Linked DNA regions of Oreochromis niloticus. The protein of the gene in region 1 interacts with the protein of each later gene in a biochemical or structural test. Links are inferred from orthologs where the notes say so. Each region holds a gene or a part of one and is shown on either strand. Other genes may lie near its edges.

Evidence for each region.
Region 2: of the proteins of ptpn11a (region 1) and cdc73, one has a biochemical effect on the other in vitro, tested with the Homo sapiens proteins (2 studies listed by BioGRID and IntAct). The link is inferred for Oreochromis niloticus from reciprocal best matches to the Homo sapiens genes PTPN11 and CDC73.
Region 3: the proteins of ptpn11a (region 1) and txnipa are reported together in a solved structure, tested with the Homo sapiens proteins (2 studies listed by BioGRID, with this or other methods). The link is inferred for Oreochromis niloticus from reciprocal best matches to the Homo sapiens genes PTPN11 and TXNIP.

What each region holds. Positions count from the first base shown.
Region 1 is NC_031972.2:11,313,285-11,320,394, reverse strand, and holds the start of ptpn11a (tyrosine-protein phosphatase non-receptor type 11), read left to right. Parts: upstream 1-4,086; 5' UTR 4,087-4,583; coding exon 4,584-4,597; intron 4,598-6,052; coding exon 6,053-6,175; intron 6,176-7,110. Other genes in the region: tmed2 (transmembrane emp24 domain-containing protein 2), read right to left, coding at 245-437, 953-1,132. UniProt on the Homo sapiens protein: Acts downstream of various receptor and cytoplasmic protein tyrosine kinases to participate in the signal transduction from the cell surface to the nucleus. Positively regulates MAPK signal transduction pathway. Dephosphorylates GAB1, ARHGAP35 and EGFR.
Region 2 is NC_031982.2:9,749,366-9,756,444, reverse strand, and holds the start of cdc73 (parafibromin), read right to left. Parts: upstream 3,017-7,079; 5' UTR 2,959-3,016; coding exon 2,828-2,958; intron 2,157-2,827; coding exon 2,051-2,156; intron 1,915-2,050; coding exon 1,845-1,914; intron 1,703-1,844; coding exon 1,640-1,702; intron 1,374-1,639; coding exon 1,321-1,373; intron 829-1,320; coding exon 740-828; intron 647-739; coding exon 433-646; intron 1-432. Other genes in the region: parafibromin, read right to left, coding at 4,581-4,591, 4,877-4,939, 5,058-5,127, 5,302-5,407.
Region 3 is NC_031985.2:35,527,587-35,534,896, forward strand, and holds txnipa (thioredoxin interacting protein a), read right to left. Parts: upstream 3,017-7,310; 5' UTR 2,890-3,016; coding exon 2,634-2,889; intron 2,480-2,633; coding exon 2,404-2,479; intron 2,300-2,403; coding exon 2,152-2,299; intron 2,061-2,151; coding exon 1,701-2,060; intron 1,622-1,700; coding exon 1,319-1,621; intron 1,232-1,318; coding exon 1,184-1,231; 3' UTR 257-1,183; downstream 1-256. UniProt on the Homo sapiens protein: May act as an oxidative stress mediator by inhibiting thioredoxin activity or by limiting its bioavailability.

The DNA.
Region 1 (7,110 bases):
ACAGACGCAACTCTGGTTAGAGAAGACTGCAGTGCATCACAAGCTCAAAAATTTATTTCACAACAGTAGTTTAGTCAAAGCCTGCTGTGCCCTACCATCCCAGCTGTCACCACCTACGAAGAGGGAAACAGTGAATCCACATAATAAAGTCAAAAAATGAGAAATGAATAAAAGGAATAATAATTTTACAAGCAACAGGAATAAAAAGAGTTGCGGTTAAACTACATAAATCCCCACTGTGTACCTTCCGTCTCCATATCTTGGCCTTTGGGAGCCTCTCCGATATCAATGGTGAACATGACAATCTTGGGTGTCATGGTTGACATCTTGTTGCTGAAGCAGAACTTGTAGGTTCCATCCATGTGCGCTGCCACAGAGTATTTCCCACTGGACTCTCTGTCCCCTTTGTAAATTTGCTTACCGTCAGGTCCTGTTATCTGGAGATAGAAGAATATCTAAATAACTGACATTGCTGCTTGAGTGGAGAATAACATGACGGGCATGATGTGCTTTAGGAAACATATGGCAGAAACTAAGTCAGACTGTCTGCAGAAATAGCTAGATTTTCTGCTTAAAACTAGCGAAAATAAACGAATTCTACAACGTCTACAGCGCATTGACTATTCAATAATCAATAATTAGCTACATAATTAGCAACTTAGAAACAATGCTAATGCTGCACTTCCTATATCATAATGGGTAATTTAATCATCATTATGGAGCAGCTCTTAGCGGGAAACTAAAAAAAGCAACTCTGTAAGATGTAAACGTTTTCCATTCAACTGTATGTTAAATCCTTTACACCTGCTTTGCATCCAACTAGTTTTACCTGACGGTACCGGCTAATAGCTAACATTAGCACAGGCCTTGTGTTGCATTGCATTTTATGATTTACAAGTACATTCTGCCTCGCGTTAGGTGACTCTTTTGCTATCCGAATGAAACATCTCACCTCGACGTCGATGTCCAGGAAGCCTCCTTCGGCCACTTCAAACATGAGGCCCATCTTGGTACCGGAGTTGACCCGCTCGTAGAAGCACTCCTCGGCATGGGCGTCTATGCTAACGAAGTAGCCAGAAGCAGTGGCAGACAGGACGGCCAGCAAGACAACTAGCTCCGACAAGGTAAACATGTTTCCGTGGTTGTATGGAGAGCGTAAACGTAAAGCTGACGGTATAAAAATTTTCTATGCTAATGTATATCCAGTTTGTGTGAGTGGACTGTTGCAGGAGACGAGCCGCAACAAGCTCGGCTACTCTGTGCTGCTCTCAGACTGCCACGTACGGGCTTACTGCACGGGTACCTGCGAGGGCCAAACCTCCGAGAATACATGACACACACTGAAAAGGAAGTGAAAGACAACTCTTCGTTTTCTCATTTGTTATTGGAAGAAGTCCCTTAAGTCCATGTAAGTTATATCTGCTTGCCAAAGTCAACCCCGTAAAGGGTCTTTATGTGCAACACGAATAATTAAAGAGTCGTGTTCTTTAGTTTACTATAATTTGTGTTTTTACTCTGAATGTAAATACTTTTTTCTGATTTATAAAAAAAATCAAATCAAACGAACATAAGTGAAAATGCACTAATTTAATGAGTTAAATACATATATTTATACAAATATATAATAAGAATATAATAAGAAAATATCCAAAACAACAGCACTAAGTCATCTAAGTAATAGTACACGATTATGAAAACATTTCATATCAGTTGATAGCATTTTGCAGTAACGACAATAATAATGATAATAATAATTTATTAATGTTGCATAGCAGTTCAAAACTCTACTTGAAGATAATACTACTTGAAGACACAGTGCATCACTGTAAGACTTTTTTGTAGTGTGGCATGAATGACAGACTTGAATACTTTTTTGTTAGATTTGTAACTTTGTAATATTTTGTATTATTTAATTCAGTTTAGTAAGTTACTGTTCTTACTGTCTTGGAGCAACAGTGACCAAATAATTTCCCCTCAGCTTAATAAAGTATTTTGATTCTTCTCCATTCCTCAGGTTTCCTGTCACTTTACAACATTGTATTAAACAGTTTGAACCAAAAGACTGTTTAACACAACCTGGAACACGGCTCTCCTAGACATCTCCATGCCTTCACAGGTATGTCATCTGGATAAACTCGGTTTGCACTCTTCATCCTCTTCATAGCTGCCCTCACTTCCTCCTTATTAATCCTCCACTCATTGTGATTCACTAACTTTTCTCCATCTGTTTTCCTGTCTCCTTCATTTTCTGGAATTATCAGCAGCTCAAAGTGCTCCTTCCGTCATCTTAACACACTCTCTTCTATTGTTAGTACATTTTCATCTCTATGCTTAACCACTCTAACCTGCAGCATATACTTTCCATTTCAATTTCTCTGTCTAGCCAATCAGCAAAAGTCCTTTTCTCCTTCCTTAGTTTCTTACTTACAACACACTACAATCCTTCTCATTTGCCACCTCTCTCGTTGTTGTATTCCTAGCCGTCCCGTACTCCTATCTATTTTCTTCATCTCCTAAATATGTCACTCCTTCTTTACTAACCTGTTTCATTTCATTTCCTATAGTTTCATGTACTTCATCATTTCACCACCAGGTCTGCTTTACCCGGTTGTGTCCAGAGGATCCACCAAACACCAGTGTCAGCACTAAAGCTGTACTTTCCCAGTCATCGGGTAACTCTTTCTTTCCACCCAGAGTATGCCTCAACTTCTTCCTGAACTCTGTGCAACATTCTTCTTTCTTCAACTTCTTTCACTTACTCCTTGCCTCTGCCTTCACTTGCTTCCTCTTCTTAATGTACAAAGGCATCCTACAGACAACCATCTGATGCTGCTTAATGACATTCTCCTCTGACACCACCTTCCAGTTTCCTATATCTTTCAGATTGCACATTTTGCATAAGATGTGGTCCCTCTGTGTGCACCTTCCTCATCTCTTATATGTCACCCTGTGTTCTTCCCTCTTCTTAAAGTACATGTTTAGTACAGACATTTCCATCCTTTTTGCAGAATGTACTATTATCTGTCCCTCTGCATTTCTCTAACACCTTACCTACTTAATACCTCTGTTCCCTTTGTCTACATGTCCATAGAATTTTGCACCAATCACAATAATGTCCCCCCTGGGGACATTATTGCTTCATCTGACTTACTCAACTTACTCCAGAATTTGTCTTTCTCTTCTAATTGACATCCAGCCTGTGTGGCATGCGCACTGACAACATTCAACATCGACCATTCGATTTCCAGCTTCGGACTCATGTTCCTGCCTGACACTTTTCACCTCCACAACACTGTTCACATACTCTTCCTTACCCCTACTCCACTCCTGTTTCTATCTACACCATGGTAGAGCAGCTTGAATCCCCCTCCAATACTCCTGGCCTTGCTTCCCTTCCATCTGGTCTCCTGCATAAACAATATATCTACCACAGTATATTTATACTGCCAACTTTAACCCCCAGACTTCTGTCTTTCCTACTCTCTCATTGCCTCCTAACACACCCTCCTCCTCTTCTTTTCCTTTGTCTTTGGCCAATATTAGCAGTTTACACCAGCACCCTGTTTGCCAGGTTGAAATCTCATCCATCATGACTTGAATGTTGGCCAAGGTTTTAATAGGTTTCTCCAAATATTTATATTTGTTGGATCAAATATAAATAAAATGATTTAAAAGGAAGATGCATGTTCACCAGTCTTATGGATGTACTATTTTGGGGAAAAGAGTACAATGCTTCAGTGATAAAGTTACTTACATCACCACTTGACTTTCTCCTAAGGTAGTCTCTGTTTTATGTGAAATATTTTATATGTTTTTGCTTACAAAGCAAATGACAAATATTGGATAGCTCAAAGATTGCATGTAAAATGTTCAAACAGAAAAAATTTGTTAATGTATACTAATTTTATCTGTATTTATTTTTACGCGTTTCTAATAACCCGAGTCGCCACAACAAAACATTACGAAAGTTTCATAATATCATTTTAAAAATGGTTGCGCATCTAATTACGTCACAAATAACATATGAAATGTAATTTATCTCCCGTTAGGGCTTAGAGCTGCGATTAAGTTTCGCTTTGCCGTGAGCACAGACAGTCAACGAACTGTTCGAGAAGCCTTCGCAGACGTTCTTCGTCGTTTGCCGCTTTCGCCGCTGTATCGTAAAAAAACCTTTTAACGAGCATGCGCTGAGTGAAAGTGATCTGGCTCTTTAATTTATCTGACGCCGTTTACCGGACGGACCGAGATCTGTAGCTTTTATTTAAGCGGGTTAAAGCGACCACGAGAAACGGCCGCCGAGGGTGAAAAAATCCATTACACCCTCTGTTTTGTCGCAGGTTTGGTGACGTCCAATAATCGACTTGCTGTGAAGTCTCCGGGGCCGAGGCCTAGAGACATTTTTTTGTAACGGGCGCTATCAAAAAAATTTGTGTCGATGCTTAACTAGATTTAGGTGCCCGTTTTGACCGGATGTGAACCAATGAAGCACTTTATACTGTAACTGAAGCTTTAACGGTGGGAAACGTTAGCCAGCTAATTAAAGCTACTGCTAACTGCCAGCGAGGAAGTGAGGAACGAAAAAAATGACATCTCGGAGGTAAGCGGGGGCTGTCTGGAAAACAATGTCTGCTGATAATGCTAGCTGAGTCTGCTAACTTTAAGTGAACTCAGCTGTTTGGATCTTGGTATGTCGGTAGACGGTCAATGAGAGTTCCGACGTTTCTGGAAATAAACAGAAATAGGTGGTGTAGGGCTGCTTCATTTAGCGTTACACCGGCAACTTAAAGCAGTCTTAAATTGTTAAGTAAACAGCGCTGTAACATTGGTACAGAACATACAAAGCTAAGCTGTCCACAAACTGTAGTTACTAATAGGTACAGTTAAAGTTAACTAACCCTGCTACAGCTGCTGTTAACAGATGCATCTTACTGGATTGATTTGTTATGCTTTGAGCTGCTGTCCAAGTCAAACCAGCTGTATTTACAAATAACTGAACATAAGACACCCCATATTGATACAAAAATTAACGAGTCATTTTAACGAGAAAACGGGAAAACAGCAGGAGTGCATCAGAAAAACGGAAATGAAGTGCTTTCACGTTATAGATATGTGCAGAGTAGGCAGAAGTCATAGCAGTTTCAACATTTTAAGTAAATTAAATTCCTTAGATTATAAATGTAACGCGTTAAAAAGTCATCGTTAGCGAGTGGAATAAAGATATTTCACATAGATGGTGCACAGACCACAGACTTCTTGTACAGACGAGAGGGAAAAGATGAAGATCATATTCACAGGGAGGCAGAGGCAGGAGATGACCACAATGGACGCATGAGTGAAACAGGCAGGCAGTCTTTTCGGGGGAGTGCCGGGTGGCAACTTGTAGAAAGAGCGCAGTCAGCCTCCGAATGTCTTTACTGGAATATACAGAGTTGGATAGAGAGGAAGTGAAGAAAGACAAAGACAGTGTGGCTCTTTTATACCTTTGGCTCCAAATCAGTCTCGATGTCAGCAAGCACCCTGTGCAATAATACCAGAAACATTGTAAGAGAGAGACAAGACTCTCAAAGGAATCGTTTATTAAAATCTAGGCAAGACATTTTTAACAGCAAGGATGGTGATAGGAATAACTTCCCCAGTGGCCTTTTGAAATCCTCATTATTGTGTAAGTCATTGACACATTTAAGCTGTTTTAATCAGATTCAGCTTTCATGTCCAGGTGACCATTCAAATTAAACTTGAGTATTACTTCAAAATGCCCAGATAAGTGACTGGAGATGTAACTACAAACTTTTAGAAGAACTTTGATAATACTTTCTCTGAATAGTGGATTGAAAATTGCAAATAATCAAGTTTTAAGCAGTTAATTCATAATTTTGGGCACCTCTTAGTACTATAACTGACCATCAACTCTGAGTTTATTATGTCATGTTGTTGTTGTGCAATGTATGGATTTTTGGCAAAAAGTTCACACAATGCACTTTATAATGAGTAAAAATTAAATGCATGTACTTAACAGTAAGTCTAAATTGTTATTTTACTTGTCCTCTTTCAGGTGGTTTCACCCCAACATCACAGGTGTGGAGGCTGAAAACCTTCTGCTGACTCGTGGAGTGGACGGGAGCTTTTTAGCCAGACCCAGTAAAAGCAATCCAGGAGACTTCACGCTCTCAGTACGGTAAGTGAAATTACACACGTTTGTACAAAGCACCATACTCCAGAGGTGCATCCCTAGTGTACTGTGGGGATTGTGAAAACTAAACAGTGTTACTGGAGCAAACATTTGGACATTGAATAATCTGTCTCCTGATCCAATGTTTTTTTTTCTTTTCTTTCAATGATCTGGATGCCTTTCTTTGACTTTACAGCAGAAGAATTGTTTTGCATTACCCTTTTACAAGTTAGATTAAAATAAAAATAAAACAGTACATTCTTGCTCATGAAACAAGTAAGGAAACAAGGAACATACAAAGTTGACTGTCAGAGTCAACTTTACAGAGGTTTGCTTTGATATTTTGGCTATCCCTGTGGTGTGCATAAGAGTTTTAAAAACCATTACAATACAGGAAGCAATGGATGAACTGTGATTGTTCCGCTGTTTTAATAAAATCTGCTTTTGCACTTTATAAAAATTTTTTACAAATCAACTTGACAAAGACTGAGTTTCTGTTAAGGTGATCAAAGTAAATTTTGAATGGTTGGACTTTTCAGTATTGCCAGCCTTAGGTTTTTCCATTTTTTTATTTTTTTTATTTTTTTTTGGGCTTGGTCACAGATGCTGAAGGCCTTTAAACAGACAGGAGTTATACAGCATTATCCCTTCAGCTGGAAGAGAAAATATAAATGGATTGAATGAGCAACAAATCATTTAATTTCACTTTAAAAAATGAGATAATATATGTAAACTCCAAATTTTGCAAGAGTGATATTTTTTACTGGATTCTCCTATTTTATGATCTGCATAAAGCAACATTTAAGACACACTTTTTGTAGTCCATCTTCAGGACAGTGTAGTTTCACCACAGCAGTGTAAGTGAATATTAAAATGATCCTACCTACTTTGCTTTCAAGTAGAACCACACCTCATTAAGTTGGACTAATCAGTATTTTGGC
Region 2 (7,079 bases), on another chromosome or scaffold:
TTTCCTGTCGCATTTTATTTGTAGTGTGAACAAGCAGACAAAAAAAATCAGATTTGATCAAAAAATCGGAATTGAGCATTAAGACCTGCAGTGTGAACGTAGCCTTAGGGTTCAAGAGGCTAACAAATGATTTAGACTTCTGTGGGAAATCTATGTTGTAACTCACAAGGTAACTAGAAACCCCTTTTTATCTTCCAGGCCATTCAGTTGTTTCCGCGTCGACCCAAGTTTTAGACAGATTTCTAGGGAGGTGCATGTAGGGTTAAAAGGGGTTTCTGGTTACATGATATGATACATCTGGCATTATAGTGTCAAGTCAATTACAATTCATTTATACAGCACTAGTTGACAACACACTTGTTTTAAGGCTCTTGCTTCTGAAGGAAAGTTTCATTATTCCAGAAAACAGTCTGGCATAAAGTGTACACTAACCTTTCCAGTGCTCTGGAGAATGGTTGTCCTAGTCCTCCAGACCCGCTCTCTGCTAACAATATCCCTGGTGACATCCACTTCTGCATCCACAAAGCTTCTCTGCTTCAGTGTTATGTCATCATCGAGATCTGTTTTGATAGTTGAACGCTTCTTGGCCATAATCTTGGCTTTAATGGCTGCAATTTTTTCCACAGACATGGCCTCAGACAGTGATCTGGAAGACAGGGAGAAATGTTTTGATAAGCTGAACTATCTGTTGGGTGGAACTGGTAATCAGAATAAGTAAAAGCTCATAACCAGATCATACCTGATCTGTTCGATCTGCACGATGCCTTCTTTATGGCCCTCCAGACGGGCAGCCAGACGCTCCTTGTCCAGACGCACACATTCCTCATCCTTGAGGTGAAAGCAGTTTTCACATTATTAGCAAATTGAAGGATAAAAAATGATATAATATCAAAAATCTTTAACTGCCCACACTGCTGAAATCTGTAAAAGTTAAAATACTCAGACTCTGTCACCTGCATGCATGACACACAGTTACCCATCTTATATTCAGTTACACTAAACACTGAAGAATATTTAATGAGCTGCGTTTTCCACTATTTAGAATCTCAAAGTTAATTCATTTAAATATTTTTCTTATGGAATTATTTTAAAAAATACATTATCATTATTATTATTATTATTATCATCATCATCATTATGATTAGTAGTAGTAGTATTTTCAGGTGTAGGGAGTGGTCCACATTTCTCACAGTAAGAATATGTAAACAAATTCAATGTTAAGTGTGTCAGAATAGGAAAACTGTGAATTTCTGTGTCCTGTGTAACACCATACAGAAAACAACATGAGCCACATGTGACATCTGAAGTAACATAATTTACCTCAACTCTTGGTTTTTTGGCTTCAGAAGATGCCTCATCAGCTGCTCTTTTAACTATAAAAAAAAAACAAAAAAACAATGAAAGAAGAAAATCAAACAAAAAACTTTATATCACTATGCAAAACAAAATCCTTCATCCCACCTTCCTTTATTTCACTTATGCAATTTTTTTGTTAAAAAAAAAAAAGGACAGTGTATGTTGCATTACTGATATTAGCACTAGCAGTTATAAGTAGTAATTATTCATGAAATTTAAATTTCAGGATTAAGTTATTAAGCTTTAAACTCCACATCATATTGTAAAAATGCTGTTACTTTACCTTGTGTTGCCCTTTGCAGACCTATTTCTATGGGCGCACTTCTGTCGATGCTCGTTGACGTGGCTGCAAGTGGACAAAAGGGACATTTTACGCAAATTTTCAGTGAACCAAAACCTGGAAGAAATCATTACAATTTTGGAAAATGACAAAGGCTGTACTAGATGCCACAGAACACCCCCTTCCTCAGTGTCCAAGTGCTACTTACAGCTCTCGCCGTTAAGATATGACAGCAAGCCCTTTCGATCAGGTCGTCTGACAACAGGGATGTTCTCTGTCTATAAACAACACACAATCATCGAAGTCAAAACTCTTTAAAGTTTACAAGATGCTGCATTCATGACAAAATGTGGGCTGGAATCAGGGGTGTCCTCAAACAACACGTTGGTAAGCAATGAACTCCAGAGCACTTACTGCAGCTCTTCGCACATAGGATGGATGCGGCAGGTGCACATTGTTGAGCAAGAACAAGATAGAGTCCAAGGTATAGTACTCTTTGGGCTGCCCCTCTTTACCAGTACTAAAGATCAAAACAAACAAAACATTTTTTAAAAAGCATGCAGGTGTCCAGTTTTCCAACTAACAAACTTTAAGTGAATTACTGCGTGATGCACACTTAATGATGTGAACCGCATTAAAGCTTGAATATAAAGCCAAAGTTACTTTATCAACCACTGTCAACAGTTCTCCTGCTAGCTAAAGCACTGCTAGTTGCAACCTTAATTTCTGCGTCACATGCACAAAGTTTGCTTTTTGCACGGTGAAGAAAGATGTTTATAGTCAGGACTGTAGAGACTAAAAGAGAAACAAAAACAAACAAACAGGTGTTTCAACTCGACTCTGAATCTCTGTCTCCGTGCAAGAACTCGCTCGCTAGCTAACGTCCGTGATTAATTAGCATTACACAATACTACAAGTTTGGCTGAACCCCTCGCGAGGTAAGTTTAACAGACATACATTGGCTTTCATGAAAGCTAGTAAAATTGGCTCTATAATGTATGGAAGAGACCTCCCTGTTGCACTAACAATTTAAAGGGTGCTTTAACTTTTAAGGAAAGCAGCGAGGAAAGTAGCTGGGTTAGCATTTCGTAGCTAGCGAGCCTTCCGTCGTTACTAGCAGCACAAGGCACAGATGAGCATCAGCTGCAGGCCTGTTGAAGCACTTTGAAGATTTTATTAGCACTGACATACCCCCAGATTATGTAGTTGGTCTTGACATTCTTCGGCCAGGAGAACTCCCCAAATATAACTTCATCTCCTTTAGCAACAATCTCCTTTTTCTGGATGTTATACTGACGAAGAACACTCAACACATCCGCCATCTTCACTTGTATGTATGTAGTGTGTTTGCAAGGCCCCCAGTTATCAACATCGTGCGGCCTTTCAAGATGCCTGATCTGAATGACGCTTTAAACTGCAAACTTGACTTTGATCACAGTGATGTATCAGTTCCAACAACCCAGGCAATTATCGGTAAAATGAAAGCAAATTTCCAGAGCAGCAAGTTATTTATTAGGAAGGGCTTTACATCGCCGCTACAGTGAATAGGTACATGTTAAGCAGGACAGATACAAGAGAATGGTTGTGAAACACTTGAGAACTATCAAATCTCATGTCCATCTCCCAAAACGTGTCAACAGTCATGTTATAAATACTTTATACGTTGACCAAAAAGACTGGATGTTGCTTTAAAATTAAAAATGAAAACATCAGCATGTTGGGACAAACATCCTTCACAGTTACATGGTCAGTTTATTGTTTGTTTTTTTATGAAGACTAATTTAAATTACACCGTGATAAGTAAAGCTTATTACAGTACTTTATTACAGTAAAATGTAAATTCTGATGCACAGAATTCAGACTGAAACACAAAATTTTCACACAAAAAAAAAAAAAAAAAAAAATCCCAAACATTGGCATTAGTCTGTTGTTAAAACTGACGGTCTTTGCTTTAGCTTGGCCACAAATTTTAGTTGTTCTAACATTTGTTTGACACTAAGCCCAGTTTATTGTTTTAAAGCTGAGTTTTTGGTTTTCTTCTTGTGAGATTATACGTTAAAAGAAATATGGCGACACTTTTTCTAAAGCAAATTTGGATTCAAGTGTAAAAGGAATCCAAGATGTTAATACTTAAAGAAAAACTTTTCTGATCTAAGAAATCTGTGAAATTAACACAATAAAAAGCAACTCCAAGTTTTACCATTGACTTTGTATGCTTTGTTTCAGGTTTCTCTTTCACTGATGTTAAGTATGTCTAAGAAACGCTACATGAAATGAAGGTTTAAAGCATCTCTACATCAAACCTGCTAACTCATACCATAGATGCATGTTGAAAACTACAGGTAATCCCCCCTGAAGTAAACCTACAGTTGCAAACACCCTAAAACTGTGACTCTTGCATTGTTCCTCTTAACCTGCCAACCTCTTGCTATAAATGTTGAATTGGCCTTTATATTCTACACTCATTACATTACTCAGGAAAAGTCCCCGAAATCTTATCAGACGAGATCTTGGGCCAAATTACGAATGACACTGAAAGCTCCAAGGTTGAAGCCAGAGATGGTCAGCAAACCCTGGTCTTCTTCGATGGACTTTCCAATGTAAGTCAGCCCACACATCACCAGCTTTGCACATTGCCTTCTTTATGGTCCTCCAGACGGGCAGCCAGACGCACACGTTCCTCATCCTTGAGGTGAAAGCAGTTTTCACATTATTAGCAAATTACAGGATAAAATGTGATATAATATCAAACATCTTTAACTGCCCAAACTGCTGAAAATTCTAAAAGTTAAAATATTCCGACTTTGTCAATTTCTATGTCCTGACTGGGGGGTTGGGGATGTTTGAAGCATCACATTTCTAATGATACCACACAGAGAACAATATGAGCCACATCTGACATCTGAAGTAACATGATTTACCTCAACTCTTGTTTTTTTTGGCTTCAGAAGATGCCTAAAAAAAACAAACAAACAAACAAAAAAAAACAATAAAAAAGAAACAAAAAAACATTATTTCACTGCACGAAACAAATTCCTTCATACCACCTTCCTTTAACTCACTTATTCAATAAAAATTATTTGGAAAAAATATTACTATTAGCGACAGGACAGTGTATGTGCCATTATTTATATCAGCACTAGCAGTTATAAGTAGTAATTAATCCCAAAATGTACATTTCAGCATTAAGTTATGAAGCTTTAAACTCCACATCATATTGTAAAAATGCTGTTACTTTACCTTGTGTTGGCCTTTGCAGACCTATTTCTATGGGCGCACTTCTGTCGATGCTCGTTGACGTGGCTGCAAGTGGACAAAAAGTACATTTTAAGCAAATCTTCAGTGAACCAAAACCTGGAATGACAACACGTGTACTAGATGTCACAGAAAGCTCCCCCCTCAGCGTCCAAGTGCTACTTACAGCTCTCGCCATTAAGATATGTAAGCAAGCCCTTTCGATCAGGTCGTCTGACAGCACGGATGTTCTCTGTCTATAAACAACACACAATCATAAAAGTCAAAACCCTTTGAAGTTAACAAGATGCTACATGTATGACAAATTGTGGGCTGGAATCAGGATTGTCCTCAAACAGCACGTTGGTAAGCAATGAAGGATTGATACTGACAGATTCTGGGCTGATTCATATGAACTCCAGAGCACTTACTGCAGCTCTTCGCACATAGGATGGATGCGGCAGGTGCACATTGTTGAGCAAGAACAAGATAGAGTCCAAGGTATAGTACTCTTTGGGCTGCCCCTCTTTACCAGTACTAAAGATCAAAACAAACACAAAACATTTTTAAAAAAGCATGCAGGTGTCCAGTTTTCCAACTAACAAACTTTAAGTGAATTACTGCGTGATGCACACTTAATGATGTGAACCGCATTAAAGCTTGAATACAAAGCCAAAGTTACTTTATCAACCACTGTCAACAGTTCTTCTGCTAGCTAAAGCACTGCTCCAAAGTTTGCTTTTTGCACGGTGAAGAAAGATGTTTATAGTCATGACTGTAGGGACACAGGTGTTTCAACTTGACTCTCTGGATTTCTGACCAGGGGCGGATCTAGAGAAATTTTCTTAGGGTGGCATAAGGGTGGTATAGAAAGGTGTTACAAAATCAAAGCCTTTTTAAAAACACATATGCACATGTTACATACGATTAAAATGATTCAAATATAGTAAGTATACAAGTTTCATATAAATATAGTCTATAACTTAATTATTTTCTGTAGCCCACATAATTAAACATTTCAGTTACATAAAAACATATGAATTAGGATTCTATGTACTGTATTGCCTGTATAATAAATAAATATGTAGACCAATAAGTCTAAAATACAGAAAGCTACACAACATGGGTGGTTCATCAGTTTCACACTGATTTTTGTTAGAAATAATCAAATTGTTACACGCTTAAGTTTCCACAAAATGTCAGAAATCTGCACTGTCATGAACAAAAATTGAAACCTAATTTTTCATGATTTGTTGGGTTAGCCCTCTGAGGTCCAAAATATAAATTAGACATTTTTGACTACTTTTTATATTTGTACTTCACCTTCAAATTGTTTCATTTTTTATTTTTTGCCTTGCTTGGTATCATTCTTTTCAGCTCAACCTCACGTGTCTGAATTTACAGGTTTTTTTTTCTTTGACATACTGTATTAACACAACTGATTTGAAATCACACAAAAAACAGAAAATCCTTGTCACGGTTTTTTTTTTTAACTATAAAAATCACAGACATGTTTAGTAAATTATTTTCATAACCTGAAATGCAAATTGTAAATTTTGAATACTTATGAACAAATTTTGTAAACAATAAAGTTATAAACTATTTATCTAAAAACGCAGCCAATGCATTTTTTTTTCCATATAACCATTTAAAAACACCTCTATAACAAAAACGAGAGAACAATCGGGTGTCACAATAAGATCCCCACAAATTATTTGTTCCAGTAAAAATAAATAAATAAATAAATAAATAAAATTTGTTTGTCCGCCGCAAGACAGAGAACACCACAGGGATGAACCCTGCAGGCCTGACAACAGGAGGTGCATCACTCCTCCTGTTTTCCACCTGGAGACAGTGTTTACATTGTAATCTGCCTTTGTAACATCGATCGTGGCTCAAGAGTTGGCAGTTCGTCTGTTATCGGAAGGTTGCCGGTTCAAGCCCCAGCCTCTGACAGTCTCGGTCATTTTGTCCTTGGGCAAGGCACTTCACCCGTTGCCTACTGGTGGTGGTCAGAGGGCCCGTTGGCGCCAGTGTCCGGCAGCCTCGCCTCTGTTAGCGCGCCCCAGGGCAGCTGTGGCTACAATGTAGCTTGCCATCACCAGAGTGTGAATGTGTGTGTGAATGGGTGGATGACTGAATGTAGTGTAAAGTGCTTTGGGGTCCATAGGGACTAAGTAAAGCGATATACAAATACAAGCCATTTACC
Region 3 (7,310 bases), on another chromosome or scaffold:
AGTACCATTCTTTGACCTAAACGCTCAGTGGCCTGAACACTTTTATTGTATTAATCTTTCTCTTTGTTGTCATCTACTCAGGGAAAACGCCCCGACCTCACAGAAATGGGCAGATAGAACTCTGCATACACGATTAAAGACCTCTCCATAGGCTCAATGGGCAAAGAGTTTGTGCAAGCTGAACAAAAACCTGCATCGATTAAAAATTTCTAGCTGAGAACCAGAAAAAGAAGAAGAAAAAAAAAAAAGAGACAAGTGAGTGGATAGTTTTTAATAAAAAAAAGAACCCATAGGGTTTCATACAAAATAAAAAAATCTGCACATATCAAGAGCGTATTACAAACATATTTTCTCACAAATCAGTCATTAACAGTGATTTCCCTGCGCCCTGAAAGAACAGAAGTTGTGAATTCACAAAAGTGGAACTCTTAAATGAAATGTTGTCTGGGACAACTGCAGATCAGATACAAGGATTCACCTCAGATAAAGTGCGTTCCATAGAGAGCGTGTGGTATGGGCGGCACTCACAGTAATTAGCGCCAGCCACCAAGCTGTGATTTGGAAGCTGCATATCTCCACATCAAAAACATTGTTCAACTGAACAGAGTCTTCTAGGCAGTAGTAGAGTCAAAAGCGATCAAAAAGTGCAACAATACAGGAATAAAGGATACTACTGACATTTAAGGAAGAAATTTACATGCTGTAATTCTCAAAAGCAACAGTGTTCCCAACAAATTCGTAACAGCGATGCAAACTGAGTGGACTGGTAAAAGGAGGTTTCCTTTTGTGTAGTCCTGTAAAAATACAGGCTTGGAGTGGAATGAGAAAAAGCGACGGTGCCAAAGCAGACCAGTGCTTGGACCAGTAACAAAGTCATAGTGGCTGTAAATGGAGAGTGAGACTCTGGCAGTCTCTGGAAAGGGCAGCTTATTCAGAAATGCAGCATATCACTGTGCCATCTGGCCTCAACATCTCTGGTCTGAAGAGCACGAGCAGGAAGACTCATAAGCGATGAAGCAGGTTGAAGGCAGCTGATGTAGCAAACGACCAACATTTCTGTCCACCTCCACATTCGTGCCTTTACTTCTCCATCCAACCTCCTCTGGAGTTTAGACCTTCTGCCTGTTTTCAAGTTTGGTCCTTAACAGGTGGACCACAGTTCCACGGTTCCCACTGGTAGACTTCAGCAGACCGGCAGCATGCGAGCATTGCCGTTGAACTCCTCCTCTGCCTGAAAAAGCACATAATTCCTTTTAGTTATCTCAAGGAACACAACTTCTTATTAACAGGACACTTTTAAGTTACCAGAGATCCTTACCTCACTGTATGCTGGAGGCGCTGGGTACTGGAAGGCTGGTGCGTTCATGAAGATGGGACTCTCATCGCCGTCAAAGTCATCAAGGAGAGGTGTGAGAGGCTGGTCTAGGCGGCAGTCCCGCGTCACGTCGCAGTAGCTGGGAGGTTCAGAAGGCATCCTGAGAGACACCCAGCTCTGGGAGGCAGTGCTGGCTGAACTGTCCTGGCTGCTCACACTGTTGCTGCGGCTGCCCAGACCGGCAGTCCCAATGACCAAAGGCAACTCCAGGATCAGCTTATCACTACCAGGAATGTGTACGTAAATCTATGATGTAGAAAAACAACGTTATTAACACCAATGTTTACGAGATAAACACCAAAACTTTCAAGAACTGAAGGCTCACCATCAGAGCGTACTCCACGCGGATGATGTTGCAGCCCAGCATGGATGGTTTGATCTTCGGTACCCTGATAGTTTTTCCCTGCCAGGCGTCGCACATCCCAGAGATGATGTGGTTACCACGCACCGAGGACAGCTTCTGGCGTAGGATCTTGGTGCGGCCGTTTGCCTGGTAGGTGTGTTTGGCTATGATGGCAGCCTTGGGCACAACAATGCGGGAGCAGGTGTTCTCAAACTTTGCATTGATGCAAATCTCTTCGCCTTCACAGAATCCACGCCGGTCAATTTTTGCATTCAACGACACCTGACCGTCAGGGATGAACATGCAGGTGACTTTCTTCTCCTTCATGCCACCTGCTGGAGACTGAAGAGCAGCAGAAAGACAGTGTTTGGTTATGCAGTCCCAAGCTTCAATGACAAAAACACTGACTATGTTTTGGCATTAGTGAACTCACCAGCAGGTCTGGGGTGTTGACATCCAGTGGCTCCTCCACCTCGAAACATTTCTTGCACTCCAGCACGGGCTGCTGCGGCCTCTCCATCAGGGCTTTGACACAGTACTGAACGTAGCCAAACTTCCCCTTGTATGACGACACCAGTTGCCTGTAAGAACCGTTATTGCTCCATCACTTGTAAGTCAGTGAAGAGGTGCACACTGCATCTCTTTAGATAAATGGAAAATCATGCGTCACATAGCGCATCCTCACCCTTGCTGAGGGAGCTCGAATCCAAACGTGTACTCGTACTTGTTGCCAGGTCTCAACACCACGGAGCCGTCAGAGTCTGGAAAAGAAAGTAAAACCCTTTACTGCATTATTCATGTACAGCAGGTTTCACTGCTGCCCTAACAATTATTACAACACCCACAAACATGTTTTAAGCCGGTAAATGTCTAACACGCATTCCAGGATATCCAGCATAAAGGTCATTCCCGTACCTGTGGGCTGGTCTTGCAGCCGCAGGACCGCTTCATATCTGAGGTACTCGGCCTCCTGTCGGCACCGCTGCTTGCCTTTAGCGTACTCCACCTTGGCGCAGCCCAGACCCAGAAGCTTCAGCGCGGACACCCGCATCATTTCGCTGACTTCCACTTCGACACGGCCAGACACCGTGTCTCCGCCGCAGTAAAAAGTCTTACTGGGATCGGAAAAGATTATCTGAAAGATTTTCACTTTCTTCGTCATCGCCACCATGATTGGCAATCTCGAAAATGGACAAAAAGAGCTGAAACGTTAAACTTCACAAACAAATCCCTTGGAAACTATCGGTAATCCATACACGTCGAGCGACCAATTCACTTTGCTGTAAACAAAGGGAGGAGGCTGCTTTTATGAGCTGGGCACGAAGAGGCAGAATGAACAGCATGGCTCAGTGCGTGCACACTGCTCTGATTGGTGGAGAAAGCTTTGTTTGTGTCAGCCCTGCCCAATCAGCGCAATGAAGCAACGCGTGAACACCGCGTGGCTGGAAGAATGTACAGCGTGCTTAGCAGATGCCTGCACAGGAAACTGAAAGAACACAGAGAGAACATTGCATTTATAGTAAACACGTTCAGACGCGTGCAATCATGGCCTGACAATGAGTCAGTTCAGTATCACATGTAGGGGAAACCTGAAAGCCCACAGTATCACCAAATACTTTGATAAAGTAGAATAAACGGAACACATGTATTTTGTTTTTGTGAGTGATTATAATCTATAAGGCACATGAAATTATAATTATATTGAAATATTTAATTCTTTAACATTTTCAATTTTTCTATAGCCTTTTTTGTCCAGTAGCTGTTTTAAAGAATGAATCGAATGCTCAAGGTGGCGAGGTCAACACTCTAAACAGAGTGCTAAAAAATGGATGGATATCCTTTATGCGAGCTTCAGGAAAATAAGGAAGTGTTTTATACAATATAAGCATTTAAAAAGGGAAGTATAATACTGACTGCAGGGATGAGTCTTTGTCTAAAACAGGGATGTCAAGCTCATTTTATATAGTGGGCGACATACAGCCCACTCTGACCTTACATGGATGAGTCAAACTAATTTCAGTCAGTGCCAAAAGTTCAACTACACGTGTAATCAATAAGATCTCTTAACATAAAACAACGAGCAGCAGGTTCAACATTTCTCAGGTTTTCTACATAGTAAAGAATTCCTGCTGTAGTAAAAGAAAGAAATCGGTCAGCATGACTCTTTGAACTTAACCTGTAATTAGTCATGTGCAAAAATAACAAAATGTAGTTACTTTGGTGTACTGTCAGTGGACACGTGGGAGGTTTTCATGAGAAGGAAAAACTGTAAAACTTGTGAAAATAAGTGTAGAATAAAGAAAATTTATGGCCTCAGAAAAACCCCAACCTAGCCAAGCAGGCTGGATTGGAGTTTTCCTGGCCCCGAGGCCTCATGTTTGACAGCACTAGTCTAGAAGATGTTAAAATAGCCTATCCCAACACCTTCATGAGAGGCCCTGGAGAAATCTAGCCATTTCTAGGTTAAACCTAGTATTTGAGAGCTCCCAGTTCACAGCAGCTTTCTTAGGAATGTCGATACGGTGTCTTGTTCCTGCACGAAGCCATTCTGGCCATTCTGAGCTCCGTGAACTTCAACCTACTTTTTGTGTGAGGGGGCGGTCTGGCAAGCTAATGGAGTACTGCTGCTTCCCAGTGGAGAAGGTAAGCTACTACAGTATACCAGCACCCTCTGCATCAAGATCAAACACCCAGTGTCAATGAGTGCTAGTCTCAAGTTTAATAGGACAGTGCAGGAATTAAATCTAGGACAAGGCAAGACTTTAAAAACAAAAACTTGATCCTTTTCTTTAAGGATAGTTAGTGATATAATGAAAGCAAAAAAAATTCCCCACATCTCCCTCATTAGATTCTGGAACAGTCAGACCTGAACACGTGTAAACATCAACCTTCAGATGTCCAGCAGTCATGTCCCAAAACCATCATGAAGTCAGGAGCTTTAAAAAGTATTACCACTAAGTATTCATTTTCAGCAACAAAACAAAACACTTGTTTCTGCAAGCCAAAGACTTAACCTTAAACAAATAAGGTCCAAACACAAGTGCCAAGTCAAGGTTTGGCTTTAACATGACATCCTTTATTAAATCTCTCATTTGCAAAAGTTATAACACGTTTCCTTCAAAGCCAGCGCCAGCCCGGAGAACAGTCTCCTCTCAGGAATCACTGATCTGCCCCTGAAAGGAAAAGAACACAGATTTCAGATACAGAATGACTGTAGCACCTTCAATAAGTGAAGTCAGTGACGCGCATAAATTATGTTGAAGTTGTCAGCTTCTCTTCCACCAGCACCCATTTAGCTCGACTCTACAGTTTATTTTTCATTACACTCAACTACTGCCCCAATGTGCTAGGCGTCGTTATAGCTACAGCATCATGATTCTTTACCCTCACCCCAAACCAGTCATAGGAGATGATTACCACCTCCCGCTGAGCCTGGATCTGCTGGAGCTTCTACCATTGTAGGGTCTTTACAATAAAAGCACCTTTATTGTGAACTGGCCTTATATAAATACATTTTTATTGAATTAAAGTGATTGAGAGTCACCTTCCTGAAAGTGAAGGCTCAACATATCATTAATCCTGGAATTTAGCTTTTTCATACACCCCTCAGGAAATGTTCCCAACAGGTTCTTCTAAGCTGGTTGCTTGAGAAGCCCACTGGGATGGCTTGTTTTTTGGTCATGTCCACAGCTAAACAGGAACACAGAATCCTGACAGCCTTGGTTCATGACCACTTTAAAGCAACACACACACACACACACACACACACACACACACACACACACACACACTTTACTTACAGCGATCAGCTGCAGTCCTTTCCATGCAGGCAGGACAGCCTTCAGAGTCTGAAACACATGGGTTTATTAAATTATTGGACCGTGTCCTGTCATGTGGACATCTACATGCTCTGTGCAAAAGCCAGTTTTCTCTTTATGAAGACCGTCTTTAGACTCAGGCCTGCTTGCTGCAGTCTTCAGTTAACTGTCAAGTCTAAAGTTAATTGTTCACCTGCACATTTCATTTTCACTGCTGTCACTTTGCATGCGAGCAGCTATTAAGCTGGCTTTTCCTCATACTGGAGCTTGTTGAACAGGAAAAGTTTTAATGTTTATTACAGTAACAACAAGTGCCGCTGTTTTGGATGCTCGGAAAGAATTCCTTCATACCGTCGCAGTAACTGCTCTGCCTCTTTGCTCCAGATCTTTCTCTTTTTAAATTTACAAATGTTGCTGAAAACCTCATATTGTGAGTTTTATAGAGTTCAGGGATTTTCAGAGACTTAATATTTTTTAAAATTAATATTTAAAAAGGAAACACTGTTAAAGCAGGCACGTGATATGCACATAACCTCACGCTACTCACACTATACTGTTTACTACTATCCATGTTTATCTGTGTGGTCCACCCTAACCAGTGATATGAAAACAGTCAGTCCACTGATAAGACTTGTAAACAATGACTTTGCAAAATGCAGAATAGGAAATCTATGGAGTAGTTGGGTAATATTTGACAGACTTGTTCTGCATCAGTATCTCACAACGCTCATGGCAGTGAACGTGTGGGTAAAGCGAAACAGATTTACTTTGTGAGGCATTTCCAACGACATGGCCCTACAGCGAAAGGTCTGTCGGGATAGACCTCAGCATACTACTGAGCATAAATGATATGCATGAATACATCAAGCATCAGTGAGTTTCTTACTTGAATTTGATTCATTTCAGTGTCTTCAGTTGGACAGTCTGCTGCTTCCTCCTTTTAACAATAGAGGGTTTGTCACAAGCACCATCGCCCTCATTCCTCCACCTCACCTCGTGGGAAACATGGTGACACTTACAGGGATATGAGGTGTGGCAGCAACATTTTGGCACAACCTGCTGATACAGAATAATTTTAATTACACAAGATAAACAGTGTTAGAAACAAGACAATTTGCATATGCACTTGTTCTTACTCTGTGCAAAAACACATTTCCACAGACATTAGTAAGTAAGGACCAATGCTCCAGCCCCTTTTGTCCTTTGGGCCAATCCTCACCTTTATTACTGAAGTTGAAACGTTGGATCAGGACATGATCATTTGTGGCAGCAGAAACCTGGAAAAAGGTTAACAGTGAGCTCAGTAGTTGATGGAGGGTTACTGAGACAAACAAGTTGGCTGATTACAAAAGCAATTTTCAGATCAGCGACAAAAATTAAGTTGCAGAAAAAAAAGAAAAAAAAAATCAAAACAAAAAACGCCAAACAGCTTTATGTGACGAGGAGTACGGATCCACAAGTAATACAGTGTGTATCAACATGTTTACCAGGACTCCCAACACAAGCAGTCAGGAGACCAACGATGCCATTTGTTGAGTTCATCTTGCACTGACTTTTGAACAAACCAGCTAAAGAAGCAGCTGGCTGCAGATACCACACAGTGCTGCCTTTGTGGCTCAAATTCACTTCTCCTTGAGATTAACATTCATTCTAAAGGATCTTGTTTTTCCTTTTGTACATTTTGATTCACTGATTGCAATCATCTGTCAGTTTGGTTTTCACTGTGGTGGACATTTACATCGCGGGAGTAAGTGATATGGATGCAGAAACTTGA